Linked DNA regions of Cricetulus griseus. The protein of the gene in region 5 interacts with the protein of the main gene of each other region in a pairwise test. Links are inferred from orthologs where the notes say so. Each region holds a gene or a part of one and is shown on either strand. Other genes may lie near its edges. The genes, in order: Ppp1r37, Psmf1, L3mbtl2, Eaf2, Bend7, Nif3l1 and probable global transcription activator SNF2L2.

Region 1 (3,780 bases), on a different chromosome or scaffold from region 5:
AGGTTTTTGGTTGGTTTGGTTTCTCCAGACAGTTTCTCTATGTATCAGTCCAGATGGATGGCTCTCCTTAGTTTTCATTTCTTGCGGTGCCTGAGATTGAAGCCAAGGCTCACCACTGTCTAAGTCTTCACTTTCAGTCTAAGTTACCCAGAGTGGCCTGGAACTTGTGATCTTTTCAGCCTGAGTCACAGACCCGGTATTTCTCTGGTAGTCCACAAGCCAGGCACATGCTAATGGCAGAGCAGGAGGCTCACAGGCCCTGTGCCCACCCCTCCCTCCACAGATGGGGCCAGGAGAGGGCAGGCTGGACCTGCTATCTCAGCCACGGGAACCTCCAGGCCGGCTGCACGTGACAGAGAGTGGCCTTAGTGTGTTGCTCGAGGTGTGGATGGGTAAGAAGGTGGGGGGCATGGGGAGGTCTGCCCAGCCTTCTGGGTTTCCTTTGGGGGCGCTCACCTCTCCCCCTTGGGCCCGGCGCGAAGCAGAGGCAGACGGTGACCCCAGCTCCCGTTTATTAGAAAAGGTGTGACAGCGGCACCGACAGGAGTGGCCCCAGCCCCCCTCCCCACACCTATCCCCCACCCGCTGCCCACTGTTGTAGTGCCTGCCAGGGCGCAGCCTCAGCGGCCCGGGCAGCAGGGTCCCAGAACCCCACTGCTGCGTGCCCAGCTCCCTGATAGATTTTATTGCACTTAAGAAAGAAGCTCTCTTCCTTTCCGCTGGCCCCACCCCACAGGGGCTGGCAAACGACCACCACGCTCAGCTCACCGGCCAGGTCCTGAAAGGGGCCAGGGGGCCACCCTAATCTGTCCTGCCTCCTACCCCTCCCCAGGACCAGTGACCCTGGAGAGCTCCTCCCGTCCGTCCTCCTCCTGTCCACCCGGCCCCAACCTAGAGAGCGAGAGCGGCAGACACATAAATAGTGCTTTGCTTTCAAGTCCAGGAAGCCGCCCCCGGCCCCCAGCCCCGTGCGAGCGCCTTGTGGCTGTAGTGTTCCTCCTGGGGGACTAGGCGGGGGTCAGCAGATCCCTGGATGGCTTCAGCTCATCACAGACCGGCCGAAAGAAAGAACTGGGGGAGGGAACAAAGGTGGGGACGGTCAGCGGGCATGCGTGGGCAGAGGGCAGCCCTGCCTCCTCCCCAGCTCGGATCCCACGGAAGGACGGACGGACGGACGGACGGACGGGCGGGCGGGCGGCACCTACTTACAGTGTCACAGTGTGTCCCGCGGGGCCTCCTGACTGGCCTCTAAAAGCAGTTCCTCCAGCTTGCTGGCCCCCTGGGGGCGGTGCAGTGCTGCGGGCGGAGGGTGGCAGCTCCTCAGAGGCAGGAGGGCACCGCCCTGCCCCTCCGCACCACACAGTCGTCCCCCCCCCGGAGAGCTTCGGGGGGGCCAGAGACGGGATCACAGCCACACTCTTCTTCCTCTCTACCCCTTTGCGCCATTCTCAAGACCGAGCCCAAGCTCGAGCCCTCCCACGGGCCCCACGGGCTTCCTTCCCTGCCGCGGTCCCCCCCCCCCCGCCTGCCCACACTTCTCACCGTGCTCCAGGCTGCAGCTGTCCCCCTTAGCCTCCGGCCCCGGGGGTGGCTCTGGGGGCAGCGCCAGGGCGAACTCGGGCTTCAGGCCGTTGGGCAGCGGCTGCCCTGCCTGAGGTGGCTGCGGCTGCAGCTGAGCCTCGGATGACTCTGGGTCCGGGATGTCCATGGTCTGAGGCGGCCGAGAGGCGGGTGGGGAGGGAGGAGAGCGGGGAGGACAGGAGACAAAGGTGGGGGGCACAGGGGGCTCTGGCCGCTCGGGTGGACTCTCCACCCGGGTCACCACGAACACCTTGTGGCCTCGGCCCGGGCTGGAGACAGAAATGCGCTGCTCAGCGGGGGCGGAGGGGCTGCCTGGGGGGCTCCTGTCCCCAGGGCCTAGGGAGTCCGTGGAGGGGATGAGGGCAGGGCAGGGGGCCGAGGGGCTGCGGTCAGCGCCGCCCTCATCCCTCTGCTGGTTCTGTTGCTCCTGGTCCTCCGCCTCCTCCTCCTCCTCCTCCTGCTCCTCCCGGTCCGGGTCCGGGTCCGAGTCCGAGTCCGAGTCCGAGTCGGGGCCAGGTCCAGGTCCAGGGGCCCCATTCTGTGCCCCCGCGGCTGGCAGGTCCCCAGGCTCGTCCAGGGGCCGGGGTGCGGTGATGGTGATCTCGGGCATGGAAGCCGCCGGCTGCAGCGGCTGCTTCTCCCGCTCGCGCACCAGCACGAAGTTGCGCTTGCAGCCGTTCTGGATCTCAGCCAGCAGGGCTTTCTGCGTCTCAATGAAGGTCTTCACCTGTGGGACCCGGCCTGCTAGGGCTCTGTCGGCCGCCGCCCTACCCTGACCCGCTCACCCTCCCGCCTGCCCGGCCCAAGACAGCACTGGCACAAAAGCAAGCGCCCTCACCGCCTCCTTCTTGGGCTCGCGGTCCAGGTCCAGGCGAAGCAGGGAGTGGTTCACCTTGAGGGCCAAGGACAGTGCCATGAGCCCGCCCGTCTTGATCTCGTTCTCCCGGAGGTCCAGTCTCAGGAGGCGGGGGCTCTCGGCGATGAACTCTGCCACGGCCACCGCGCCTGGGAGGGGGACCGCAGGGGCTGGCCACGGGCCCCACGCCTGGCCGCTGGCCGGCCGCCCTGCCGAGCCCCGCTGGCCCCTGCGCCCTGGCCCTGGCCCTGGCCCTGGCCCTGGCCCTGGCCCTGGCCCTGGCCCTGGCCCGTATCCTACCCTCGCACGTGAGCTTGGTTGAGGCCAGGCCGAGGCGCAGCACGCTCCGGTTGCTGATGAGCCCATTCTTGAGGTTGCGCATGCCCTCATTCCCAATGGGGTTGTGGCCCAGGTTCAGGGTCTCCAGACTCTGTGTGTGCGGCTGGAAGGGACAGGGTAGGTGAGGAGGGAAAGCCAATGGTGGAGTCAGGAAAGGGGCACAAGCAGCAGCCAAGGCTCGTGTCCTCCTCTTGCTTTGCCTCTCAGGGCACAAGCCTACTGCAGGTCTGGGACCCTCAAGTCCTTCCCATGCTGGGTCTCCCCCAGCCCTCACTAGGCCCTCTTCCCCGCCAGAGTCCACGCGGCCCCATATTCACAGCCTGACTCCCTGCCCTCACAGAGCCTGTCTCCGAATGGCTTTAAAGACCCCAAAGACAGCCTTCTTGTGGGAGGGTACCTGGGCACTGGGCACTAAAGTGCCCCCTCCTTTCCCTGGGAGTATTTATGCCTGCTCCAATTACTTTATATATTACATGATAATAAAAAGACTAAAAACTTACTGACTGCTTCCAGAAATATTAACTTTTTTAGGCCAACATAGTTTGTGCAAATCACTGTCCTACGTAGTCTGTTACAAAAAGTCAATTAAAGAAAAGGGCCCAGCCCCGCATAGTGTGGCATCTCTGAGTTCTAGGCCAGCCAGCTGGTCTACAAAGCAAGTCCAGGACAGTCAGAGTGACACAGAGATACTCAGTCTTGAAAAGAAAAAAGAAAAGAAAAGAAAAGAAAGGTAAATAATGAAAGAAACAGGGTCTAGGGCTGACTAGATGGCTGAAGGATCCAAGTTCTATACTGGGGCATTTATATATGGTAGAAGGAGAAAAGTGACTCCTGCAAGCTGTCCTCTGACCTACACACACACACACACACACACACACACACACACACACACACACACACAAATTTAATAAAAATTTTAAAAATTAAAACGTGTTGGGGACCAGGCTGAACGGGGCTGTCGAATCGGACCCCCTGGACTCACCAGCGCCATGCCCAAGAAGGCC
Region 2 (4,454 bases), on a different chromosome or scaffold from region 5:
TTATCTATATTCTGTCAAGACCTCTGACTTTCCCTTACCTCCACTTGTACAGCATTCGTCCCACTAGTATGCTCTCTTGGCATACAGACAACTTGTTCTGCTCTCCACCTCAACACTTTCATTCCAGAGCAAGACAGAATCGCTGGGGTCATGTAAAGCTGACATCTCACCATGGTGAGACCGGTGTTCCCCAGAAAACAGAAGTGGCCCAAGACATCAAGTGGCCGCCCTCTGCACCTTGATATAAAATAATATCAAGTGTCCCAGAAGGCCATGGTTGGCAAGTGACCAAAGCATGCTTGTATAATTTAACTCCCTCAGTTGATAACTCTAAGACCTGAGAGGAGCTGAGACCTATTGAAGGGCAGTGCAGGGCAGGCTGGAGATTTTCTCCAGACAGTCCTAAGAAGGTAAGGGTAGCTGCCATCCTAGGTGAAATTCTGAGGCTAGAAATATCCTTTAATGGTTACTGAGCTCACCCCAGGGCCAATGGGCTAGAATGTAACCAACCAACCAACACACCACACACACAAACAGGTCCTTTTCCCTTTCTTCATAATCTTCAGACTCCCATAACAGAAAGCCCAATTCTGTCTCTATGGCCATCTCCATGCCGTGCCACTTAAGCCATCTGACATAGCTACGGAGCTCTTATGGAGAGTAGCCCTGACCAATAGAGAGACCAAACCAATGTCAGATTTTTGTTTAAGTCAAGGGATCTGTTGGTCTTCAAATCAAATATTACACACACTGCTCTACAGTGGCAGACACAAAACCAAAGAGAAAGTGGACAATATAGCATTCTGTTTAACTGCTGAGTCGGTATTACACAGTCCAGTACATACTTTAAATACTTGTTTCCCTGTTATCACCCCCTGGAAGGGTGGATGGCAGGAGGCGGCTAGACAGGCAATACAAATAAATACACTCTATGTCTGGCAAGCATTATTGATTTGCTGGCTCTAAACTGGAAAATAAAAATTCTCTACTAGATAAACTAACAGGAAAGATGCCTCTCAAATTCTTTTGGCTTCTATTCTGAATGAGAGAACACTCGTTGGCAGTGAGTGGCCAAGGGCAACCTGAGCCCTGAGAGGACTTTAAGAGATGGGGCTACAAGAAACAAATGGCAGCACTCTAGTCCGAACCCAAACACTGTCCCCTCGAAGGGCATGCATGATTTAGTACGGAGGCAGACAGGGTCAGCAGGCAATACTTTCCAAAACCCCATCTCCCAGGCTCCTTGTCCTTCCAGAAGATGTCTGGATCCTGCATCTTTTAGTGCTGGGGAGCTACTTGAGGTTTGGGAGGAAACGGGGAAAGAAATCAACAAAAATTTTGTGTATTGCTTCCTTCTAATGAGGGTAAAGTGTAAACAGGGTAGAGTGGTCTGAGTTCCTAGTTTTATAGGACAGACAGGAATGGAACTCCAGCAGGGCTATGCCTGGTTAAGTGCTCAGAATGTTGAAAGTGTGTCAAAGGAGGAGTCCATAAAGTTGTGTGAGGAGAGAAAACATACCAAGACTCTAATGTATCTAAGAAGCTAAAGATTGTAGGGTTTTGGGAACCGTAGTTAGAAATGAGAGGAAGATTTAAAATCTCTCTGTAAGTTCCAGGGGGTGAGGGGACCTTCTTTCCAGGACTGGTCTGAATTTTGAGTGCCAAGACAGCAACATAGAGGGGCAAGCCTGGAGTCCTTGAGTCTCCAAGTACGTGTATGTGGGATTGTGGCTGGGAGTTCCTTTGGTGGAGCAGATAGGAAATGAAAGGCAGTAAGGGGACCAGGGCCAGTTTACCCAAAAACCTGCTACACAGGTAGACATGAGGGTCATAAGGAAGGGGCAGAGAAAAGGAGAAGGCTAGGGCAGAGAATCAGTGATGCATACTGGACCTCTATGGGGATGTCAACAAGGCCCCATCAGTTAAGAGGCAGAATCTGGAGATAGGAGAATAGATTGGATTCTGGTGGAGACAGCTAAGGGAAGAACACTCACAAAGAAGGCGTGTGTGTGCTGTAGATGAGTAGTGAGTGGGCTCTGGCTGGTCCATCGTGCTAAGTGTGTGTATGTGTGTGGGGGGGAGGGGGTTCTAGAATATGGCTGAGTAGATCAAAGCTCACCACCACAGCTGTGCTTGGTGTGCGTGTGACTTGAATGGTGTGTGTGATTGTGTGTGTGATGTGTGTGTGTGTGTGTGGGGTTCTAGAATATGGCTGAGGAGGTCAAAGCTCACCACCACAGCTGTGCTTGGTGTGCGTGTGACTTGAATGGTGTGTGTGATTGTGTGTGTGGTGTGTGTGTGTGTGTGTGTGTGTGTGTGTGTGTGTGTGTGACTTGAATGGGGTGTGTAGCATTGAGTAGTCCACGCCATGACTGTGTGTGATAAAGATGCTTTGGGGAAGTCGGGTGGATGAGGACTTTAAGGAAGCTACTAGTCTGTCTCGGCGTCAGATCCACACGACTCGGCCTGAGTGAAAGCGCCGGGACGCCTTTCGGTTACACACACGCTGTGCCAGCTGCTGGCACCAGCTCCAGGCGCGCCAAAGTGCGGCGTCACCTCGGGCCCTGGCTCGGCAGGGTCAGGCGAGCCCTCTGGGCCTCTGGTTGCGGGCTCCCCTCCACCCAGGCCTGCTCCGCAGCGTACCTGGTCGCCTGTGCCCAAGACATAGTAGCCGTTTGTCACCACTTCCCAGTGCAGGAAGCAGACGAGCGCGTCCTGCGGGCAGCTGATGGCAGGCGCGGCCGACGCGAAGAGAACCTCCAGGCCCGCCATGGACGCTCGCGGCTTCTGTGGGGAAGGAAGGAAAGGAGCTGGCAAAGAGCAAGCCGCGCCGCCTCAGAGGAGCGGGACGGCGAAAGCGGCAACACCAGGGGTGTTCCTTTCGCTTTGGGCTCTGTCCGCACCTGCGCGGAAACGCAGAAACCTGTGCCGGAAATAGCTCTTAGCTTTGTAGGCGCTCCGGGCTGGAACCGCCGGCGCCGCGCTGGAAGGTTCCGTTAGGGAGCACACGAGCGGGGCCGCGACTTCTCACAGCCCGATTCTGCTTCCGTCTACAGCACACCGACCACTCGAAGGCAGGCAGTTTATTCTTGGAGAGAGGCCACCTTGCTGCCAACTACAGTAGGCTTCTCATCTGCAAAGTGGAGTGCACTAGGGTGGGAAGTACTTAAGCAGTCTGGTGTAGATGTTTTCATAGTAATTTATTAGCATGCCTGCAGTGCCTGCCTGATAGCACCTTATTCTACGTGCTGAGCTTGAATGCATTTATTGAACTCTCCCAGATTAAATTTTATGCGGTTGGTATTAATGAAAGTACTGTTCCACTTTGTAGATTTGGAAACTGTGTCACTGTCAGCCAGTAAGTGATAGAGATGCGCCCAGGGGCTAGCAACTTGGCTTCTAGGATAGCATTTGAACATATAGATTTCACACTAAATCCTGTGCTAAAGCCTTTACGTCTCCTCGCGACAAATTCATGGGTCTATTCTATTACCTCTCCTAACTTTGCAAGTGACAAAACAGACCAGAGAGTTGTTGGCGCCCATGAGCGAATAGCCAAATATTATCAGTTGTTCTCCTACCTACCTCAAGATTTTTTTTTTTTACCACCTATTATGTCTCCCAAGTTTTTTGAAGTCCAGTACTTTTTTTGTAGTCAAATAAATTCACTTTCCCCATTTTGGTTGATACCATGACCCAAGCCATTGTCTTTTTTCACCTGGATACCTTTTCTGCTACACGATTTCACCCTGCAACCAGAGGGATTCTGCTGAAACACAAGGAGGACCATGTTCCTTAGGTCCAAACCACCCAGGGCTCCCTCCACAAAGGAGAAGAGAAGTCCACTCTGGGTCTGCCACAGGCCCTATGCCTTTCTAATGTCTCTTCCAAGTGTCCCTTCATCTCCTGTTCTCCTGACTGTAATAACTTTGACTTCCTTCAGCTCTCATGTCTAGGTGAACAAGCCATAGTCTTACCCTGATGGAGCTGTTTAGTGGTTAAAAAAGAACAGACAAAAATTAGTCCAGGGTGAAACCTGCCATTTTGGAAGTGCTCAGAGGCCTGTGCAAGCCCACAGGAATCCTGTGATTCAGGTGAGGGTCAGGAAGGGTTTCTTGAAGAAAGAGATGGATGACAGTATAGAAATCTGGTGGAAGAATAAAGAAAAACGTTCCTGTGAAAGGGAACAGGATGTGCAAAGGCACCTAGGTGTGAAATTCAGCTCTCCCTGTGTGGCTGGAGAATCAACACTGTCTCTCTCATCTCGGGCTCACCTTTAACTACCCTCCACACTGTGCTTTCAGAGTCGGCGGCATGCTGGGGAGTGGGGGCAGGCATGCAGCAGAGAAAGCTATCAGCACCAGTAGGGAGGAGAATTTTATCACTGAAGTATGTTAGAATTGTTGGTTCGTGATGATAATAAAAGGCCTTTTGGTCAGCTTTATTAATGCTTT
Region 3 (3,964 bases), on a different chromosome or scaffold from region 5:
GCAGCACCACTGACCCCATCCTTCTGGAACCATCTCCTGAGTGTTCTCTCTCATAATCAGTATTTTTATTTATTTTATTTTAGTGTGTGTGTGTGTGTGTGTGTGTGTGTGTGTGTGTGTGTGTGTGTGTGTGTGTGTGTATTTTGAGACCAGGTTTCTCTGTGGCTGTCCTGGGACTCTTTCTGTAGACCAGGCTGGCCTTGAACTCACAGAGATCTGCCTGCTTCTGTTGGGATTAAATGCATGTGCCGCCATCACCTGGTTCATCAGCAGTTTTACAAAAGAAACTCCAGCTCAAAGAAAGTTAACTAGCTGGACCAAGACCAGGAGCTTGGCCTCAGCAGTCCCAACCAAGCTCTGCTTTCCCACTTGGTATGGTGGTGCATGCCTAGAATCTCAGAAATCAGGAGGCAGAGGCATGAGAGCTGCAAATTCCAGGCCATGATATCTCAAAGAAACAAAGCAAAACAGAAACTGATTCTGATGCATAACTGCCAGCCTGTATGATTTTCTTCTTGCCCTCCAGGGAAAGCCGCCCACCAAGAAAGCCAAAGTGCTGCACAAGGCAGCCTGGTCTGCCAAAATTGGAGCCTTCCTTCATGCCCAGGGGACAGGACAGCTAGCAGATGGGACACCCACAGGACAAGATGGTGAGACAGAACCCTGGGGTAGGGACCATGGCAGAAAACAGCCTTGCCTGGGAGAAAGGTGGACTGCTGTAAAGTTGAGGCTCTAGGCCTACCATGAGCTGTTGCCATCTGACTTTTGTGGAAATGATCTTAGGCATTTCTTTCAGTGGCCCTCAATTCCCTGGTTCTGAGAGCACCCAGAAACCAAATGCTAGCTGCTTCATTTCACTTAGCATCTGTCTATATGGCTCTGACTCCCAGGGTATGTGGAGCAGGTGGAAGGGGCCTCTCAGTTTTCTAAGCATAGCAATTGATGAGCAAATTACACAAAGCCTCCAAGAGGCTGAGACTGCACTGTGCAGCCGGGTGGGCAGTCTGCTGCTCTTCTTGCCCATTAGATGTGCTGGAGGAGGAATTTAATCCCATGAGATCTGACTTAATCACCTCTTTCTGTGGAGCATGAAGAGTGAAGTTTCTCTTTGGATGCCCCTCTGCTCTGCAGTTCTGATTGTTGTAATTCAATTAAAAAACTGCATGAGAGAGAAAGACACCATGAAACAGGGTTTAAGCAGAGGGTTTGTTTGTTTGTTTGTTTTCTAATTAGGGAAATGGATCATAAAAAGGGGAAAGGGGAAGTGGGGAGACCAGCCTTGGAAAACAGTAGCAGCAGGAGAGAAGACAAATGAAAGAGGGGGAGAGGGGAACAGACAGAGAGAGGGAGAAAAAGAAAGAGAGAAGGATGGGAGGTGGGCAGGGCCCTTTTAAAAGGGAACATAGTGAATATGCCCAGGTGGTGCTCTTAGTGGCTGCAGCTGAGGACATATCCTGTCAGCTTCAAAGACACGCCAGTACAGATGCCTGAATACTAATGCTGATGGCCATTGGTGGTAATAAAGGAACTTGTTCCTAGAGCCCAATGGGGCCTCCAGGTTCTTGTTCTAACATGGCTGCTGTAGATACTGCTTCAGCTTTACCCATGTGCTCTGCAGCTCTGGTCTTAGGGTTCGACTGGGGGAAGTTCCTGAAGGACCACAGTTACAAGGCTGCTCCTGTCAGCTGCTTTAAACACGTGAGTACTCTGGAAATAAGGGAGGAACAACCAGGGATAGCCAGGGGACATCTCAGGCTGCCTGCCACATTGCTACCCACACACTTCAGTTGAGCTGCGCCAGGCTGGACAGCATCTTTGAGAACAGTGGCCATTCCCCAGAAATTCTTTGTTTTCAGGGCTGGAGAGATGACAAGAGTACTGGCTGCTCCACTAGGAGTCCTGAATTCAATTCCTAGTACCCACATAGCAGCTCACAACCATCTATAACTGTATTCCCATGGGATACAATATACTTATACAATATATGCCAGGTATAGTGGCTCTACAAGAGCTAGTTCCAGGACAGCCTCCAAGGCCACAGAGAAACCCTGTCTTGAAAAATCAAAAGAGAGAGAGAGAGAGAGAGAGAGAGAGAGAGAGAGAGAGAGAGAGAAGGAAAGAAAGAAAGAAAGAAAGAAGGCATAAATACTGATCCTGCTTTCCGAAGTGTCTACATACTATTTACACAATTGGATTTTGGTTTGAGTTCAGTGGGTGTTCTTTTTTTCATTTTTCATTTTCATTTTTGATATTCCCCCCCCCCATTAAAAACCAGGCCAGACACTGGTGTGGCTTGTGTCTGGCCACAGCACTTTAATCCCAGCACTCTTGAACTCTGTGACTTCAAGACCAGCTTGGTTTACAGAGCAAGTTCCAGGACAGTCAAGGCTACATAGAAAAACCCTGTCTTGAAAAATCGAAAAACAAACAAACAAACAAACAAACAAACAAAAAAGAGGGCATCAGGTCCTCCCAAAGTAGAATTCTTTGCATGGTTGTGAGCTGCCATGTAGGTGCTGGGAGTCAAGCCCTGGTCCTCTTAATCAGTGCTCTTAATCATTAAATCATTTCTCCAGCCCTAATTTGTTTTGTTTTGGCAGGATTTCATATATCTGAGGCTGGCCTCTAACTTCCTATGTAGCTGAGGATAGCTTTGAACTTCTGGTCCTCCTGCCTCTACCTCCCAACTGCTAGAATCACAAGCATGTGCCACCATGCCCAGCCTTCTGCCACTAGGGATTGCACACACTTTATATCATCAAGCTGCACCCTTAGCCCTTGTCTGAGGACCTTTCTAATACCAAACATCCCATTGGGGGACTACCTTCTGGTTCTTCCTGAAGAATAAAGGGTCCTGTTTGGCTGATTTGGATGAGCTTGTGGCCAAGAATGTGATAGTGCTCAGCAGCTGTTCCTTGTGCTAGCCTGGAATGATACAGCGGGTCTTTTGTCTTTTTATTATTTATTTGTTTGTTTGTTTCCAGACAGGGTTTCTCTGTGTAGCTCTGGCTATCCTGGAACTCACTTTGTAGACCAGGCTGGCACAACACTTGCCTGTGCGTCCTAGTCCTGGGATTACAGGCATGTGCCAGTACTACCAGTCTTGTCTTTCATTTTTGTGTCTTTTGTTTTAATTCAAGACAGGGTCTCACATTATAGCTCAGACTAGCCTGAGGGCAGTCTTCCTGCCTTTGTCTCAAAAGTGCTGGCACATAGGTATCAGCCATCAAGACCAGTTTTTTTGTTTTTGAGGCAGGGTTTCTCTATAGCTTTGGAGGCTGTCCTGGAACATCGCTCTATAAACCAGGCTGGCCTTGGACTCATAGAGATCTGTCTGCCTCTGCCTCCTGAGTGCTGGGATTAAAGGCATTCCTCAAGCCTGGTTTCTTTAGGCTTTCAGTCCTGTCTCCTAATGTCAGAGAGGCCTCCTGAGGCTTTCTTTTGAGCAGAGTGAGCCAGCTGCCTGGCCTTCCTGGATTGTCCACTTGTCTTCAACTATGACAGGTTGGTCCTAAGTCCTACAATGTCCTTCTCTGAGTTGCTAATGTGTCTTTCTTGCAGGGGAAGAAAGCATTCTCTTTTTCCCTACAGTTGTATTGTAAGGAAATTAGGTCACATTTAACACAATATAAAAGAAGCCCTGTAAAGAGTTTGCCTGTGGAGCCTGGCAGTGGTGGGACACACACACGCCTTTAATCCCAGCACTTGGGGGCAGAGCAGGTGAATCTTTGTGAGTTTGAAGCCAGCCTGGTCTAAAGATCCAGGATAGCTAGGGCTGTTACACATAGAAACCTTGTCTCGGAAAAAAAGACAAAACAAAACAAAACAGAAAAAACTTGCCTGTGTACCTGGACCACTGCATGCTGCCCCAGGCCTCTGTGAGCCTGTCTGCCTTGGGAGATGGATTATTGCCTGTGTAGCTTAGGCTGAATCTGATAGTGAAAGATCCAAAGGGGATCAACTT
Region 4 (4,609 bases), on a different chromosome or scaffold from region 5:
AAAGAATGTCACAGTCTATGCTGACCAAAGAACCTTAACTATAAACATTATCAAGTCCTATTTTAAATTAGTGTAATTTCTGATGTTTACTTACACTAAAGCTGCACTACTTTTGGTGGGTGGGGCCACTCGGATAAAGGACAACCTTTCTGTAGTCACTACTTATCAGCTTATTTTGTGACAATAATAAATGGCGTTACTGAAAACAGGAAATTTACTGATTATTAGCCCTTATATAAATATAAATTATAAAGCTAGTGCTAGCCCAAATCCAAAATTAGTTCTAATGTATTATTCAAACTCTTCTATGTAATGTATCTTTGTTGCTAAATGTTACCTTTACTACACTTACATAAGTTACATGCATTAATACTCCTCATGCACCTATGAACATAACTCATAAAACTAATAGTGACTATTATTTATTCTTTACCATGTTCTAAATTCTCTGCTAGTTTTTTTAATGCTACCATAATCCCTCAGAAAAAATCTAAAAGGTAGCTATTACCATTTTCACATATGAACACTGAGGCTGAAAGCTTTGAAAATGTTCTCAAAGTCACATTATATATGCAGTTAGTGAAGGTCAGGGTTCACAGACAAGCTTATCCAAAGCCTTAGTATAAAAGACAAGCAAAATTTATGCTGTAGATAAGACAAAATAATACTTTCTCTCAAATGACACTAGCTTGTGTGTTTGGTATAAATTTGGCCCATCTGGCCTGCACAAATGCAAAATTCTCTATTGTGTAGTCTCCACTTGTCACTGAATTATTAAGACTCGGAGTTACCCTGGAAATGAACCTCTTCTTAAGTATAATACCAGGTTTTACTTAAATAAACATGAAAAGAATCTGTGTGATATTATACTTAATTCAATAAGGAGAGAGAGAGACAAAAAAACAAAGACTGAAAACCTGTTTAATGCCTTCTGCAAGACTAAGTGTGTAATCTAAGTTTGTTTACTCTGTAATTATTATTATCATTGTCTTTTTGCATATTCTTGTTTGTTGTCTTTCTTGTGGCTGGGTTATGTGACTCTAGAAAATATGATTTCATCATTTTAAGAACTTTTGTAAAGGTGGGGATGTAGCTCAGGTAGATCACTTGACTAGTATGTGCCAGGCCCTGAGTTTGAGTTCTAATGCTGCAATCAATCAATCAGTCAATCAATCAATCAATCAAAGAAGCTATAAATGAAAGTCTTTGAAGCACCTTTGAGGCACTTTTCAGAAGCTGTATTTCATTCATTTAATTTTGGATTTGTATCTGTAAGAAGAGAATGCATACCTACGTTATAAAAATAGACACATTGAGGGACTGGAGAGATGGCTCAGCAGTTAAAAGTACTTGTTCTTGCAGAAAACTTGAATCATTTTGAGCACTGACATCAGGTGACTGATAATCACTGGTAAGTCCAGTTACAAGTGATGTGAGGCTTTCTTGTGGCCTCTGAGGGCACCTGCATACATACGATGTACATATATACACTCAGGCCCACATATACACATGTAAAATTTAAAATAATATAATCTATCTCTATATAACTTTTTTGTTATTTTAAACCTTGTAGCTTGAAAAATAAAATATTACTGCATATCTGAGAAGGAAGAGGAAAGGACATGCTACTTGGGGAAAGGGCATTGAGAGATCAGATAAGAAGAGTATGTTACTTTTGGAAAATGAAACTGAAGAGGGAGGGAGGGAGAGAGAGAGAGAGAGAGAGAGAGAGAGAGAGAGAGAGAGAGAGAGAGAGAGAGAACACAAGGACCTGCACAGCACTTGCTCCTGTTTCATTTTGGGAAGTCGTCTGAATTGTCATCAGGGCAAAATAAACAAGGGACATCATTGGCGCTCTGCTGGTAAATCTCTCCAGTTTACTCCACCAAAACATGCATAATAAAACCTTTTAATAAAGTGTAAACATATCATTTGAAAATTAAAACCATTGTTTCTTCCTACATCTCCTCTGAGTTATTATAGTTAGATTGTTTACAACTTAAACTTTGAGGGCTGAGTTTAAATAGGGTGTTTTCAGAATATAAACTTTATAAGAAAAAGGACAGAATGATTGAGGAAGGTAAAACAATGAGACAGTAAAGAACACCTGGGCTGGAAAAAAAAAAAGATGTGAAAAAAAACTCTTCACAATTTGTCACACACACTCACACAGACACACACACACACACACACACACAGGAGGTCACGACTCAACGATGTTTCCTTTATGCTCTAGAACTCTGAGGCCTATTATGCAAAAAAGAAATTTTACATACAAAAGTATGCTATATTTTTTCGTACTGGCATCTATATCATGTAATTACTAAAACAAAAGGCTCATTGTAACCAATTTTCCAACAATATTAAAGATAACTTATTAAAACCTCACCTTTCAGTTTTTGATAATCAGTACTTAGCTGACCATGAAATTTGAGATCTAAAAAAAGATACAAACTATTGAGATAGCTGACAGTCTCTCCCCACAAACTAAAACGAGAACCGTCATCAGAGGACAAGTGAAAATGGGGAAGAAATGTCCCTGTGGCCTCTAAACATCCCTTTTGCCCCGCATTCGGTCCTTTGTTCCATCTGTCTGTCACCTTTCCTCGCTGCACCATCCACTTGTCATGCTAGTCTCCACAGCCACCCCTACAGATCTTCCCCACAAAACGTCCTCTCCTGCCTGTCAGCCCCTCTTAAATCCTCCCAGGGTTCTCCTACACCTGCAGGACACCAGGTGTCCGCGCCGAGACTGGGAACCGTGTAGTGGATCATGCTGCCATCGGGTTTCCCGGTGCGCAAAGGGCCGCGGGGACAGAATTACAGAATTCCGAAGCGTCTGCTTCCATGTCACCCACCCACACAGCACCCAGGAGGTTCCTCCCGGGTACCCCGAGCAGCCCGCACTCACAGCGCACGGTGTGGAACGCACAGCGCGGCTGCTTCTCGAAGCTTTCGCCTAATTTGAGAACCCGCTCGCGACGGTCCAGGTACGCGAGTCCCGCTGGTCCATTCATTCTCTTTCTCTGCCACCCACTTGGCCTTCGCCACCCGCTGTCGCAGCCTTCCAAGCAGCTGCACCGGCCGCGAGCCTGAGCTCGGTCCCTGCCTGCGGGCTGGGATCTCCGGCGCGTGCGCCCGCCCCTTGGAGGCCCCGCGTCCTGATTGGCTGTCTGGAGACAGCTGCCACGCCCATCCCCTGCGGTCCCGCCCCGCCCCTAGCCCCCCTCTCCCGCCCTTAGCCCCCTTCCCGCGTCGCGACGCACGCAGCTCGGCGAACGCAGCCGTGCTGAGGTGCGCGCTGCGGGTCTGGGCCTGAGGTGGACGAAGGCGAGGCGAAGATGAGGTAACAGAGCTGAGGTGGCGCCTGGGATGGCTGAGGCATCCAGGGGGCGGAGAAGCTAGGACGCCAGGCTCTTCGACCTAGTGAACTGGCTGGCGGGGCCTGGTGACCGGAGCTGGGCCTCCTCCGCGCCTGGCCCGCAGGTTTGGAAACGGACGCCTGAGGAGGGGCGGCGGCTGGGCCCAGGCCTGTGGCTTCCCGAGGCCTAGTAGCTCCCGGCCGGTTCTAGAACCCCAGCCGCTACCCCGTCGGTGCCCTGACCAGACTGGAAGCCACTGGAAGTGATGCAGTTCCCTTGAGGGCCGTTTTTTAACCTTTAAACACCACAGGCCTTTTCCCGCCAGGGTTAGGGTCTGAGGAGGGAGCATTTCGGGGCGGGGCGCGGGGCGCGGGGCGCGGGGGGCGGGGGGATGAAGCTTAGGACTAGGGGTAACTGACTGCATTAGGTTTCTGGCATTTGTTTCCATCCTAGTGATTCCTGGAGGCAGTGAAGGGCACGGCCTGGGACTCTTGATTCCTCAAGGATCGGCCTAGCAACAGAGTAAACGTATGAATTGATCAATAATTGTCTTTTTTTTCCCTTTCCTCTTGACACTTCACAGCATCATTGTAAAGTGAGAGAAAGCATTCATTATGAATGTTAGAAGGGAATTCAGTAAAACCATGCAATGAGTTGCTCCAGCAGATGATTTTTTTTTTTTTTCAGGCTAATTGTATCATTCCTCCACTTCTACCTTAAACAGATATGTCAATGTATTTTTCCAGGTGGACAGGTGATTAGGTTTGCCTTCTACCCTCTAAAGGTGCATGGAGACTGTTTTATATGATAATTAGACACGAAGGTTTTGGAGCCAGAATCTCTGAGCTTGTACTCCAGTTTCATTGTAACGCTGTGACTTTGTGCAAGCAATTCAAACAAACGCGTTTATCATTAGAATCATTAGAATTCGGGAAGTAATGATAATAGCTATGCAGAAAACAATGCCCCTCCTTTAGAATTGTTGAGATGGTTAAATGAAATACATGCAAGCAAGTACAATTATAGGGCATGCTTATTTAGGATTCAGCTATACTTTCGTATTTTAAGACATCATTGGTGGCTACCTTCTAAATTTTGAATTGCAGGGCCTAGGAATAGCAGCTTTGCTTACAGATGGAAATATTTGTTTTGAGAAGCTAAGATCGTTGACTTTTGGCCGTCTAATATCAAGGGGCATTTGTTCTGTGGGCCAAATGAGTGCATACATACTTACTTGCACATGGATT
Region 5 (3,964 bases):
TAACATAGTCTACTCGCCAATATGCAAGAATGCTGGATCTACTTTAGAAACTGCTACTAACATTGAAACAAAAAATTCCTTCAAATGAGAGTCAAAATAGATCATTTATGTTTCTTGTTTGCATCATTTCAGTAAAAATATATTATGCAAGGGGCTGAAGAGAGTTCAAGTTGTTGAAGTGTCTGTGCTGTAGTGTGGAGACCTGAGTTCAAAGCCCCAGAACCCACATAAAATCCAGGTGTGGCTTCTGTAATCCCAGCACCAGCAGGATGAAGTCAGAAAGAACATATAAGCCCATCAATCTAACCAGATCAACGCGCTCCAAGTTCATTGAGAGACCCTGTCTAAAAACAGTGGAGAGACAAGGAAGACAGCTGACACCAACCTCTGCCCTCTACACACAGCAACAGCAACATGCACACCCAAATGATTCTCTCTCTCTCTCTCTCTCTCTCTCTCTCTCTCTCTCTCTCTCTCTCTCTCTCTGTCTGTCTCTCTCTCTGTCTCTCTCTCTGTCTCTCTCTCTGTCTCTCTGTCTCTCTCTCTCTCTCTCTCTATATATATATATATATATTCACACTCATCATTCACATAAAGAAATATAAATGTATTATACAGTTGACCCTTGAATAACATATGTTAGAATTATGCACTTCTGCCTGTAGGAAACTGTTTTGTAGAGATTTGCAACAGTTTGTGAAAACTCTCAGACAGACCTCACAGCCTAGAAATAGTGAAAAATTATGGGAAAGTTAGACATGTCATCAGTATATAAAATATGTAGTTTATAAAATCAGTTTATAAAATATATAAAATAATATCACTTATTATTTGCCATTATAATTTACTACCAAAATACATACATTATTTTTTTTAAAAATCAAGATTTATTACAACTTGGGCACACAAATACTATAGACTATCATGATGTCATTTGCAGTTTGGAGAAATTTTAACAAATGTAATATTTAGCTACCTCTTGTTCCCACTGTGGGGAATTAGAAGTGAAGTGGGATCTTGGCCTTCACTTGAGACTATGCCCTGCCCACCTCCCAGAGCTGCTCAAGGATCACTAGGATACAGATATGATTGCCATGTGTTTCTTTGGGATAGCTAGTGGTTCTAAAGCTGAGTCACCTCCCTTTGCTACTATTTGAATGTTAATGCTTGCGCTGTCCATATGTAACCTTTCATTCTTTTGTGGTTTTGCTGTGGTAAACTTCACTATCTACAAATAATGAGTATTATAGGAATTGGTTGTATCTCCTGCCTGTCAGAAACTTAGGAAGTAGCTGCCCCTTAGTCTGCCCCGATTCATGGTAGCTAACCTGGAGCTAGAGAGGTCCAGCTGCCAGAGCTTTTTTCCAAATGTGCTGTTTCTGTTCATGGACAGTGGGGAAATTCTAGTGCATATTTAGGGGAAACAGAGGAGAGTAGCTTTGATAAGGAAAGTACTTCAATGTAAACGTGAGAAGGAGACTGGTGATGAGGATTCTAAGATGCAGGGTGGAGAAAAGAGGGATAATCCTTCATGAAACACCTCTGAACCTTCAGGCAAAGTGCTGTGCCCTCCCACCCTGCCTCCAGCTTCTCCCCACCCCAGCCAGAGCGTATTGCAGAAGTTCCTGCGTAGCCACAGCTCTTCATTGTTGAAATGGCACACTTGCTAGTAAAACTAGTTTTTATTAGGCTGGTTTGGTTCTTAATATGAACTTTGTAGCACACATGCTACGAAGGTGGTTTTGTAGGGCTGATGCAGAGCCGGGACTGTTTTTGGTTTTGTTTTCACTGTTTGAGAAAGTAGCATGAGGGCTGAGGGGGATGGCTCAGCCATTAAAGCCTCACAACCAAAAATATAAGAGAAAATAGCATGAGTGTTTATCATGACTTGTCAGAGTATCGTTATCTGTGATGAACCGGCCTCACAGTAGACAGGCCTGCCTTGGCAGTGCGTTGTGTGCCTGCGTTCACACAGACCATGCCACCTGTGTGTAACGCAGCATGCATGCACCTTACAAGCAGAAGGCTGGGTAATTAGATAAAGTCAGACCCCAAAATTCAGGTTGTGAAAATTACTAGGTACATTTTCTTCTGGCACAGTTTGAAGATAATTGTACATACTTCAAAACCCTGTCAAGATACATTTTTTTTCCTTTTCTTTATAATTATTTTTTGCATGCTTTGGGAGTATATCATTCTTTTCTTTCTTGCTTAGGAGAACTTCCAGGGGCGAACTCATCAGCTGGATCCAACTGCTGTACTTGTAGCTGCCAGTCAACATTGCAGGCCATTCTTCAGGAGCTCAAGACCATGAGGAAGCTAATGCAGTTTCAAGCAGGTACAAAGACCAGCCCTGCAAAGCACCCTTTGATTGGGAATGTGTGCCTGACATCTTCGGTTGTGTGCATTGTCCTTTTGTCCCACACTCCTTCCCTCCCTGCTGTCTTACTGTGCCTTTTCAGGTATTCGTTTTCTTGACTTTTTTCAACAACCTATGATTTTGTCTTATTTTATTTTCTTAGCAAATCAAACAGATTTTGTTATTGCCCCTAATACTGCTGTCAGGGCTTATGCACATGAATTCAGTGTACTTCATCCCATGATCTCCTGGTACTTCACAAATGCCAGTTAATTAAATTTTGGAATATCTTATGTGAAAGAGCCCTTCAGGAAATGCAAGCCTCCCTGGTGAAGATGCTCGAGGACGTGAGCAGATGAGAAGTGGTGAGCCACAGGCTCTGCCTGTGACTTCTCTTGCATCGGGATGTAGTGATCAGGCATACCTTGCATCTGGCCACTCCCTTCACTTGACTCTCTCTGTTCTCTTTGTCACTGGGTAAGGTGAACAATGGAACCGGGCATGTAGAGCTGGGAATTGAATTCCCAGTTTCTCACCCTCTAGCCGGACGACTTCTAGGCCTCCCAGTTCTCATCTGTGAATGGAGCATTAATGTCTGATTCGTGGGGCTGTTTTTAAATGTGAAGGAGATAGCTATAGAAAGTGAGATTTTTGGAAGGCAGAATGCACACCTCAGTGTTCTTTTAAAAGCCCACAGCACTTTGTAGAAGTTTGGAAGTCGAGGTCCAGTGGCTTATTTTTCCGATTTTCACTATTAGTAAGAAAATTTATTCTTTATTTTTGTTACATATGCAAAAAATAACAAATCTCTCTCTCCTGACGGATAAACTGCTGGTAGATGTTAGTATGGGAAAGCGGGAAAGCAGCCTAGCCCTGTGGTGATGGCCCTTCTGACTCTGATCACGGTTGTGTTCATGAAGTCAACACTCAGAAAATGCACTTGGTGCCAGCCACAGCATTCTAGCAAAATCTTCACAGTCCATGGTATGGTTTTGATATAAAAAGCTTACTTCTTAGACATATCAGTCACCCACAATCAAATTTTTAGAGAAACCAAAGGGATTTCTGGAAACTGTATTTTTAAGGACTGAATTTGGTCTTATCCCAAGGCAAAAATAAGCATTTTGTCAAGTCAGTAAGTACTTGGCTCACCTTATTCCACCATGGCACTCTGTGTCCTTATCAGCCTGGCAGAGGTCGCCATCTCCTATGTAAGGACCTCGGAATGAAAGGTTACTTTACTCTGTAGATGCTGTTCACGGAGAGGGAATCTGTTAGTACTTAAGAAAATATGCATATGAAATTGTAATGATTTATTTTGTTACTTAAGCTCCTTACCACTGAAATGGCAAACTACAAATTGCACCCCTGTAAATCCTTAACTGGAGTCTTTTTAGAATCTATTAAGTAAATGCCATTTTGTCACCATGTTTTCTCTTCTGAACCTTTGCAGATTAGTGAAGCAAACGGCTCCAGAGCTATGGAGAACAAAAAGGATAAACCGAATAAATGACTCTCCTTTAATTTTCTTTTAAACTTAAAAATTCATGTTGTGCAGGCAGATTTACTTGGGGCTTATTGCCCATGAGACATAGATTTAAATTC
Region 6 (2,847 bases), on a different chromosome or scaffold from region 5:
CTCAGGTGACTCTTCTTAACACTCAAGAGTATAAACTGTCTGATGTTCTGAATACAGTTGGCTATTTTATGAGACTTTAGTCTGCCTCATTTGTAGGCCCTGCTCTCCCAGGTTCATGCTGTCAACTTGAGCAGTTTGATCCCTACACCACCATAAAACAAAATTATAGGAATAAATTGAGATGTAATGATCATCTATGAATTTTTTAAAATCCCAATAAAAAATTGATATCTAACTTAAAAGCACATGGAATGACTTCATCACTCCAAAATGCTGTTTAGAAATAAATCTAAATCCATTTTTTGTTGCTGTTTTTCTTGTCTTTGCGAGGGTGGGTGCCCTAGAGCTGGAGTTACAGGTGGTTGTGAGCTATCATGTTAGTGCTTAGTGCTGGGAAGTGAATTCTGGTCCAATGCAAGAGCAGCAAGTATGTTTAACTGCTGAGCCATCTCTCCAGTTGCTTTTTTTTTTTTTTTTTCATTTTGAGATATAGGGTTCTAGGCAAGCTTGGACAGCATAAGCTGGGATTATACTTGTGCACTGCCACACCCAGCTCCAAATCTGTTTTTAAATGATGTTTAAGATTAACCAAAGGGGCCAGGCATTGGTGGTGCACGCCTTTAATCCCAGCACTCGGGAGGCAGAGAAAGGCGGATCTCTGTGAATTCGAGGCAAGCCTGGTCTGCAAAGCAAGGGCCAGGAGAGGCTCCAAAGCTACACAGAGAAACCCTGTCTCGAAAAACCAAAAAAAAAAAAAAAAAAAAAAAAGCCCAAGGCTAGCCTGAGCTAAATAGTGAGGTAGAGGCTATTCTGGGTTACGTGGGATTTTGTCACAAGTAAGCAACCTAACAAAAAATGCCTGATTATATACAAGTTTTAATCCCCTTTTCCAAGAATTTATAATGAATATTTGTCTTTATTGTACTCTACACATGGTTTTTTCCTTATGAGCTATAAAACTTGATGAAACAGACCGATGAACTGAAGATGATGTCGTTCAAATAAACTTGTGCAGAAGGACGACAACACCACTAACTCTTCCTATTTCAATCCAAATGAGGTGTAGCTTGTGTCACTATGATGTCCTGTGCATTTTAAACCACATGAAGAGGGTCCCTGTCTGTCTCAGACAGGATAATATTGATCTTATTCTCCAAGTGAACACCCAGCATTTGTTGAAGATCGGAAAGGAAACCTCGTTCAGTGTTGCTATGTTCACAAAGAATGACATTTATTCCTTTGGAAGCAGCATCCAGAACATCATGGTGGGACATTTCACCTGCCAAAAGAGGAAAGAGCAACTTCTTAAATATTAGACACAGAATCTATGCACCCTGAACCACTGCAGCAGAAAGCCCAGGTTTGTATTCTGAAGGAATGGATGCAATGCCACACTACTCCTGAGCATGGAAACCAAGGGAGGGTTTATGGAGCGATCAGACAGAATGTTTGCCTCTTGTGCACAAGGTCCTGCGTTTGCTGCCCATGTGACTTTATGGTGCAGAGTCATGTCCATGTTCAGGAGCAAGTATACAGGGATGGGACCGATGGCGTTGGGTGTGCTGCTTCATGCGTGTGTGCGCACATGGAGTGTAGGTCAGAAATCAGCTTTCAGAAGTCAGTTCTATCCTCCCCTTGTGGCAGCAGGAATTGAAGTCCAGTCATTAGGTTTGCAAAGCAAGTGTGTTTATCCCTTGAGCCCAAAATATGAATTTCATTTTATATTTCATCTATACTTTATTTTCATGGCCTGAATATAGTATCATATAGTATTTTGAATGTGCCAGCATTTTTTTGTTTTGTTTTTGAGACAGCTCTTCTCTATAGCTTTGGGAGGCTGGCTTGAACTACCTGACCAGCATTTTTACTATAACTTGTCACATGACTCCAAGTGTAGAATTTTCCTCTTATGCTTGTGTTATTTAAAACAGGGAGGCAGAGGCAGGTGTATCTCTGTGAGTTCCAGGTCAGCCTGGTCTACAAAGGTACACAGAGAAATTCTGTCTTGAAAAACAAAAACAAAACAGTTTTGTTTGTTTGTTTTTTTGAGATGGGGTTTCTCTGTGGTTTTGGAGGCTGTCCTGGAACTAGTTCTTGTAAACCAAGGGGGTCTTGAACTCACAGAGATCCGCCTGCCTCTGCCTCCCAAGTGCTGGGATCAAAGGCGTGCGCTACCACCACATGGCCAGTTTTGTAGCATTTTGGACATAAATATTTTTCTTTGACTATTGCAAAATGCTGCCAAGGATGACGTATATGTAGTCCTAGAACTTGGGAAGCCAAGGCAAGAGGATCAGGAGTCCAAAGCCAGCCTCAGCTAAATAGTTTGAGGCAATTCTGGGTTATAGGAGACCCTGTCAACAAATAAGCTACCAAAGAAAAAAGGCCTTGTTAGTTATTGTGGCTGGGCAGTGGTGGAACACGCCTTTAATCCCAGCACTCAGGAGGCAAAGGCAGATCACTGAGTTTGAGGCCAGCCTGGTCTACAGAGAGACTTCCAGGACAGCCAGAGGTGTTATATGGAGAAACACTGACTTGAACAACCAAAAAGAAAGAAGGAAAAAAAAAGGTACTGTGAAAAAGATAAAGGGAAAACTCAAATATGTTTTGAATTTTTAAAAACAAAAACATTGTGGGAGAGGAGAGAATAAATGATCAATCCGTATGAAACTTTTGAAATAATGTGTGTGCCTATGTATGTGTTACATACAATTTGGTTTGTTTATAGAAAATTAAACTTTAATCAGTGTTTACAGACATAAAGCCAATAAAAATAAAAATTTTAAGTGTTTGTTGTTGTTGTTGTTGTTGTTTGTTTTGTTTTGTTTTTTTTTTTAAGACAGGGTT
Region 7 (3,964 bases), about 190 Mb from region 5:
CAGAAAATCTAAATACAGGCACAAAGATACTCCAAGGAAGACCAAACACACTGAGCCAAACTCAAAAGAATGTGTTGGGACCTATGGGTGCAGAAGGCAGTATCTTTGACAACAAAATCAATATTTTAAATCACGCTTATTTAAGCGGTTCTCTTAAATACTGTGGCAAAGGAACCCTTTACAGGGTTGTTCCCTGTTGCCGAGCTTCATTGCAGCCAAAAGTCACCTAATACACTGTGCACCCTCCCCTGCTGAGAGGAAACACCACTGAAAGAAACAGGAAGTCTACCTAAACATAGTCCTTTCCCTCAAAAAATTAAGATAAAACCACCATCGCTTCTGGATATATATACCCAAAATAAGTAGAAACAGAGTCTTGAGGAAATAAATCTCCTCCACATGCCCATGTTCCGGAGAGGCACCGTAGCCAAGAATTCAGAGGGAACTCAAAGATCTGTAGACAGATCAGTGACTAAAGAAAACATGGCAGATGCAGTGACTAGGACTCAGCTTTTGGGAGGAAGTACCTCCTGTTACTTTCTACAACACAAAGGAACCCTAGGAAGCCAGTCACCAAAAGATGGACACCAAGCAATCCCACTCATGTCAAACTCACACAAAGTAGGTGGTTATAGGAACCGGGGTAGGGGAGAACTGCTAAAGGCTTAGGCCTTCGTCATTTCTAAGAGATGAAATACTACCAGAGACCTGTTAAGCACCCATGAGAGCAGCCTTACCACTACTGAACTCCACCCTTAAAAAACAGTTAAGGTGCCAGGGAGTGGTGGCGCAAGCCTTTAATCCCAGCACTCGGGAGGCAGAGGCAGGCAGATCTCTGTTAATTTGAGGCCAGCTTGGTCTCCAGATGGAGTTCCAGGACAGGCTCCAAAGCTACACAGAGAAACCCTGTCTCAAAAAAGAGAAAAAAAAAATGTTAAGGTGGTAAAGTTTATGTTGTCTTCTGACCACCATTCAAGGGCGATGAATAAATAAATGGGCCTTTGCCCTCTGGGATTAAATTCTTTTGCCATGGAGATGACCCACATCGTCAAGGAAGTGGCAGGTCAGCCTGAGGGAAATGGTGATGACAAGCAGGGAACAAGAAGGATAACACTGTGGAATGGGGGAAAAAAATCTGCCAGAGATCTGAGCTGACAAGTTAGGGTGAGGACAAGCTGGCTGCGGGGAGACAAGCATGCACAGGAGAAAGGTGAGAGGCCAAGGTGGAGAGATGGGTGGAGACATCACTGTCAATCCCCAGCTGTGAAAGTGGACTCTGCTAGACAACATGCTACATGCAGGATCTCTGTGTAACTTGACCTGTCCTGCTCCTTCTCTTTTACTGGATATGGGAGCATCAGGCCAGAAAGATAGATAGGGAAAAAAAAAATCAGTTCCCACCAAAGGTAAGTAGAATTGAGTTGTAATTAAAGTGGAAATGTCCTCCTCCTTATGCTCATAAATTCACTGTTATGTACAATGACTTCCTGACTGTGGAGAAGGGAATGTCAAGAATTTTTTTTAAAGTAACAATTAGAGGCACCCCCTATTCTGTTTTAAATCATTGTACTTTGAACTCTTCGTGTAAAGTTAAAGTTAGAAAAATGAAGCTGTCACTGCATACAGTCTCTGTAAGTACACAGATGGTACCCAGCCTTCTAGCATTACCTTCAATGGCTTTCTTGAACTCTTCCTCTAATGGGAAGATGAGCCTTGAAGGAAGTGTGAGAAGAAGCCCACCCAGATATCGCACAAAAAAACCTCCCTTTATTCACACTGACAGTAGAGAACAAGGCCTTTCGGTTTTCAGTGCTCTGCTGGGGTGGAGGCAATGGTTCCAAAAGTAGAAACGAAACGGAAATGCTCCACTTCCGAGAACCTCAGCATGGGTCAGGTTAGACACTTCTCAGACAACTTGACACATACCTGGGATCCCTCCAAGTTGAATGTCTGTGCATTGTGACAGAGAAGCATGACATCTTTCTCCAGGTCACCCAGGCTCCGGTACTTGTGATTACGAATTCTTTCCTGATGGGAATTTTGAACAAAACAGAAGAGAAATATGTAACTGTCCTTATTGTTGAAGAAGGCCCCGATGTCCCTTTGTCTTCACAGCACTCAGCCTTGCTGAGTGCGTGGGACTGCGAGACCCTCCCACCAGTGTTCCGAGGGCTGGGGAGGAAGGTGCACACAAGGGAGAGGCGGGTTCTCAACAACATGCAATGTATATAATCTGAGCTTTCGGTGATCAAATAACATGCATGGAAAGGATCAAGGTCAGCCCATCCCCACCTTTCCTGGGGCAAGCACTTGTGTAGGTCAGTGGTTAGCAACCAGGAGGCCACGACCCCAGCCCCAGCTAGCGTCACTCCCGAGCATCCATGCATCTCCTTTGTTTACTCGAAGAATAACAGTGAACACAGTATCTACCTTTATCTTTTTGAAATCCACTGGCTTCCTAATTAATTCATAGTATTCTGGTAACTCTTTCCTGGAAGGTAACTGAATGAAGACTTCACTGAGCTGTCGCCCTGAACTGCAGGATGGGGGAGACAAACAGAAACAAAGCAGATAAAGCACTCCTCAGGGAAAGGGTCGTTTCAGAGACTGTCAACAAAGCAAAGGAGGTCCCACGGATACAGGCATGGGGGCTCTGCACATGGAGGAAACGCCCACCACTGCATTGGAGGCTGATGCCCATTGGGAGGGCTTCAAATCACATGAACGCTCAGTTAGGTCCCCATTTCTGTCACAGGCACACGATGTGGCAAGGACTCTGTGGACTCCCCTGTCAGGAGGTAATCTCTTTTCATCATGACAGAAATATTTAAAATAACTTATTGAGCCCCAAGTCCCATTTTAAATGAATAACAGAGTTGGTTAAAAGAAAGCACACAGACATGACTCCCACGTTCCTTTGTCTTCAAACTCACTGTGTATTTAGAAAATATGTTAAAATATACAGAGCAATGCAAATGTGAAGCTGTTGTATGCTCTCTCCAGCCCTTCCTGTCTCATTCCTTTTACAGTGTTCTACAAGTCATGAGTCCCTTCTATTATCCCTTGCCCGAGGAGCCCCTTCACGTCCCCTAAATGCACTTATGTGTGTGGAGCAATTTGGCAATTCAGGCGAGAGAGAGAGAGAGAGAGAGAGAGAGAGAGAGAGAGAGAGAGAGAGAGAGAGACAATTGCTAATGCGTGCACGCTGCATGTTTATAGAGTCTGTGCTGTACCCTCCCCCCAAAGAATGGTGGGTTTATTGAAAGCAGGTTTAGGAGAGAAATGCTTTAGCGTTCTGTCACTCGGAAGAGCAGGCTGCAGAGCAACACGGTTTTCACATCACTTAAGGCTGGGAGCAGGCACAGTTAAAGCCACAAAGAAGGATAATTGAGGTTCAAGACCCCAGTGCCTGATTTGGCCTCTCTAAATCAATAACAGCTTATGATAGATGGTCTAGTCATTTTCCACAAAAAATCTCGCTGCCCTTTTGATGGCATCTCTGGTTCCTTTGTGACGCCAGAAACATCAAAAGATAATCATAAACCCCTGGCATGTAAATTTTGGAAGGTGACTGCACCAGTGTTCGGGAACGCTCAGAGGCAGTGGCAAGGCATGAGTGACAATATGCTGTTTTAATCCACAGTCCCAGTTGTATAATTAAAAAATAATCATAATGACAGTTATCATAAAAGAGGCATGCGCAGTAACTCAAGCGGTTGCCTAGCAACCAGTGGGGGAAAAGCTGAAGTGCAAAGGGGCCTGCATAAATTAACCGCCGATAGTCAAAGGATGGGCAAGTTTTTCGGCCATAGAGGGTCACTGTTTTGTTTTATTTTTAATGCATGGAGGGGCCTCATGAATACAACATTGGGGACAAACACAAGAGGTTTAAAAACAAGACTACTGAAGGCTAGGAAATTAGATTCTTGGATTACTGCGGTGAGAACCAAGGTGTTCTCTACCC

The links.
Region 1: the proteins of Bend7 (region 5) and Ppp1r37 interact in binary tests that used the Homo sapiens proteins (3 or more experiments, as listed by UniProt). The two-hybrid records come from large-scale screens. The link is inferred for Cricetulus griseus from reciprocal best matches to the Homo sapiens genes BEND7 and PPP1R37.
Region 2: the proteins of Bend7 (region 5) and Psmf1 interact in a two-hybrid assay, tested with the Homo sapiens proteins (2 studies listed by BioGRID and IntAct). The two-hybrid records come from large-scale screens. The link is inferred for Cricetulus griseus from reciprocal best matches to the Homo sapiens genes BEND7 and PSMF1.
Region 3: the proteins of Bend7 (region 5) and L3mbtl2 interact in binary tests that used the Homo sapiens proteins (3 or more experiments, as listed by UniProt). The two-hybrid records come from large-scale screens. The link is inferred for Cricetulus griseus from reciprocal best matches to the Homo sapiens genes BEND7 and L3MBTL2.
Region 4: the proteins of Bend7 (region 5) and Eaf2 interact in binary tests that used the Homo sapiens proteins (3 or more experiments, as listed by UniProt). The two-hybrid records come from large-scale screens. The link is inferred for Cricetulus griseus from reciprocal best matches to the Homo sapiens genes BEND7 and EAF2.
Region 6: the proteins of Bend7 (region 5) and Nif3l1 interact in binary tests that used the Homo sapiens proteins (3 or more experiments, as listed by UniProt). The two-hybrid records come from large-scale screens. The link is inferred for Cricetulus griseus from reciprocal best matches to the Homo sapiens genes BEND7 and NIF3L1.
Region 7: the proteins of Bend7 (region 5) and probable global transcription activator SNF2L2 interact in binary tests that used the Homo sapiens proteins (3 or more experiments, as listed by UniProt). The two-hybrid records come from large-scale screens. The link is inferred for Cricetulus griseus from reciprocal best matches to the Homo sapiens genes BEND7 and SMARCA2.

What each region holds. Positions count from the first base shown.
Region 1 is NC_048602.1:27,823,669-27,827,448, reverse strand, and holds the end of Ppp1r37 (protein phosphatase 1 regulatory subunit 37), read right to left. Parts: intron 2,880-3,780; coding exon 2,738-2,879; intron 2,587-2,737; coding exon 2,420-2,586; intron 2,309-2,419; coding exon 1,543-2,308; intron 1,297-1,542; coding exon 1,214-1,296; 3' UTR 1,210-1,213; intron 1,072-1,209; 3' UTR 565-1,071; downstream 1-564. UniProt on the Homo sapiens protein: Inhibits phosphatase activity of protein phosphatase 1 (PP1) complexes.
Region 2 is NC_048599.1:28,279,463-28,283,916, reverse strand, and holds the start of Psmf1 (proteasome inhibitor PI31 subunit), read right to left. Parts: upstream 2,920-4,454; 5' UTR 2,773-2,919; coding exon 2,644-2,772; intron 1-2,643. UniProt on the Homo sapiens protein: Plays an important role in control of proteasome function. Inhibits the hydrolysis of protein and peptide substrates by the 20S proteasome. Also inhibits the activation of the proteasome by the proteasome regulatory proteins PA700 and PA28.
Region 3 is NC_048595.1:378,814,193-378,818,156, forward strand, and holds part of L3mbtl2 (lethal(3)malignant brain tumor-like protein 2), read left to right. Parts: intron 1-526; coding exon 527-650; intron 651-1,539; coding exon of another isoform or gene 1,540-1,618; coding exon 1,619-1,698; intron 1,699-3,964. UniProt on the Homo sapiens protein: Putative Polycomb group (PcG) protein. PcG proteins maintain the transcriptionally repressive state of genes, probably via a modification of chromatin, rendering it heritably changed in its expressibility.
Region 4 is NC_048597.1:53,161,320-53,165,928, reverse strand, and holds the start of Eaf2 (ELL-associated factor 2), read right to left. Parts: upstream 3,142-4,609; 5' UTR 3,018-3,141; coding exon 2,912-3,017; intron 1-2,911. UniProt on the Homo sapiens protein: Acts as a transcriptional transactivator of TCEA1 elongation activity. Acts as a transcriptional transactivator of ELL and ELL2 elongation activities. Potent inducer of apoptosis in prostatic and non-prostatic cell lines.
Region 5 is NC_048596.1:221,952,948-221,956,911, forward strand, and holds part of Bend7 (BEN domain-containing protein 7), read left to right. Parts: intron 1-2,215; coding exon 2,216-2,338; intron 2,339-3,964.
Region 6 is NC_048595.1:412,847,529-412,850,375, reverse strand, and holds the end of Nif3l1 (NIF3-like protein 1), read right to left. Parts: intron 1,280-2,847; coding exon 1,095-1,279; 3' UTR 857-1,094; downstream 1-856. UniProt on the Homo sapiens protein: May function as a transcriptional corepressor through its interaction with COPS2, negatively regulating the expression of genes involved in neuronal differentiation.
Region 7 is NC_048596.1:34,604,322-34,608,285, forward strand, and holds part of probable global transcription activator SNF2L2, read right to left. Parts: intron 2,537-3,964; coding exon 2,431-2,536; intron 2,029-2,430; coding exon 1,927-2,028; intron 1-1,926. UniProt on the Homo sapiens protein: ATPase involved in transcriptional activation and repression of select genes by chromatin remodeling (alteration of DNA-nucleosome topology).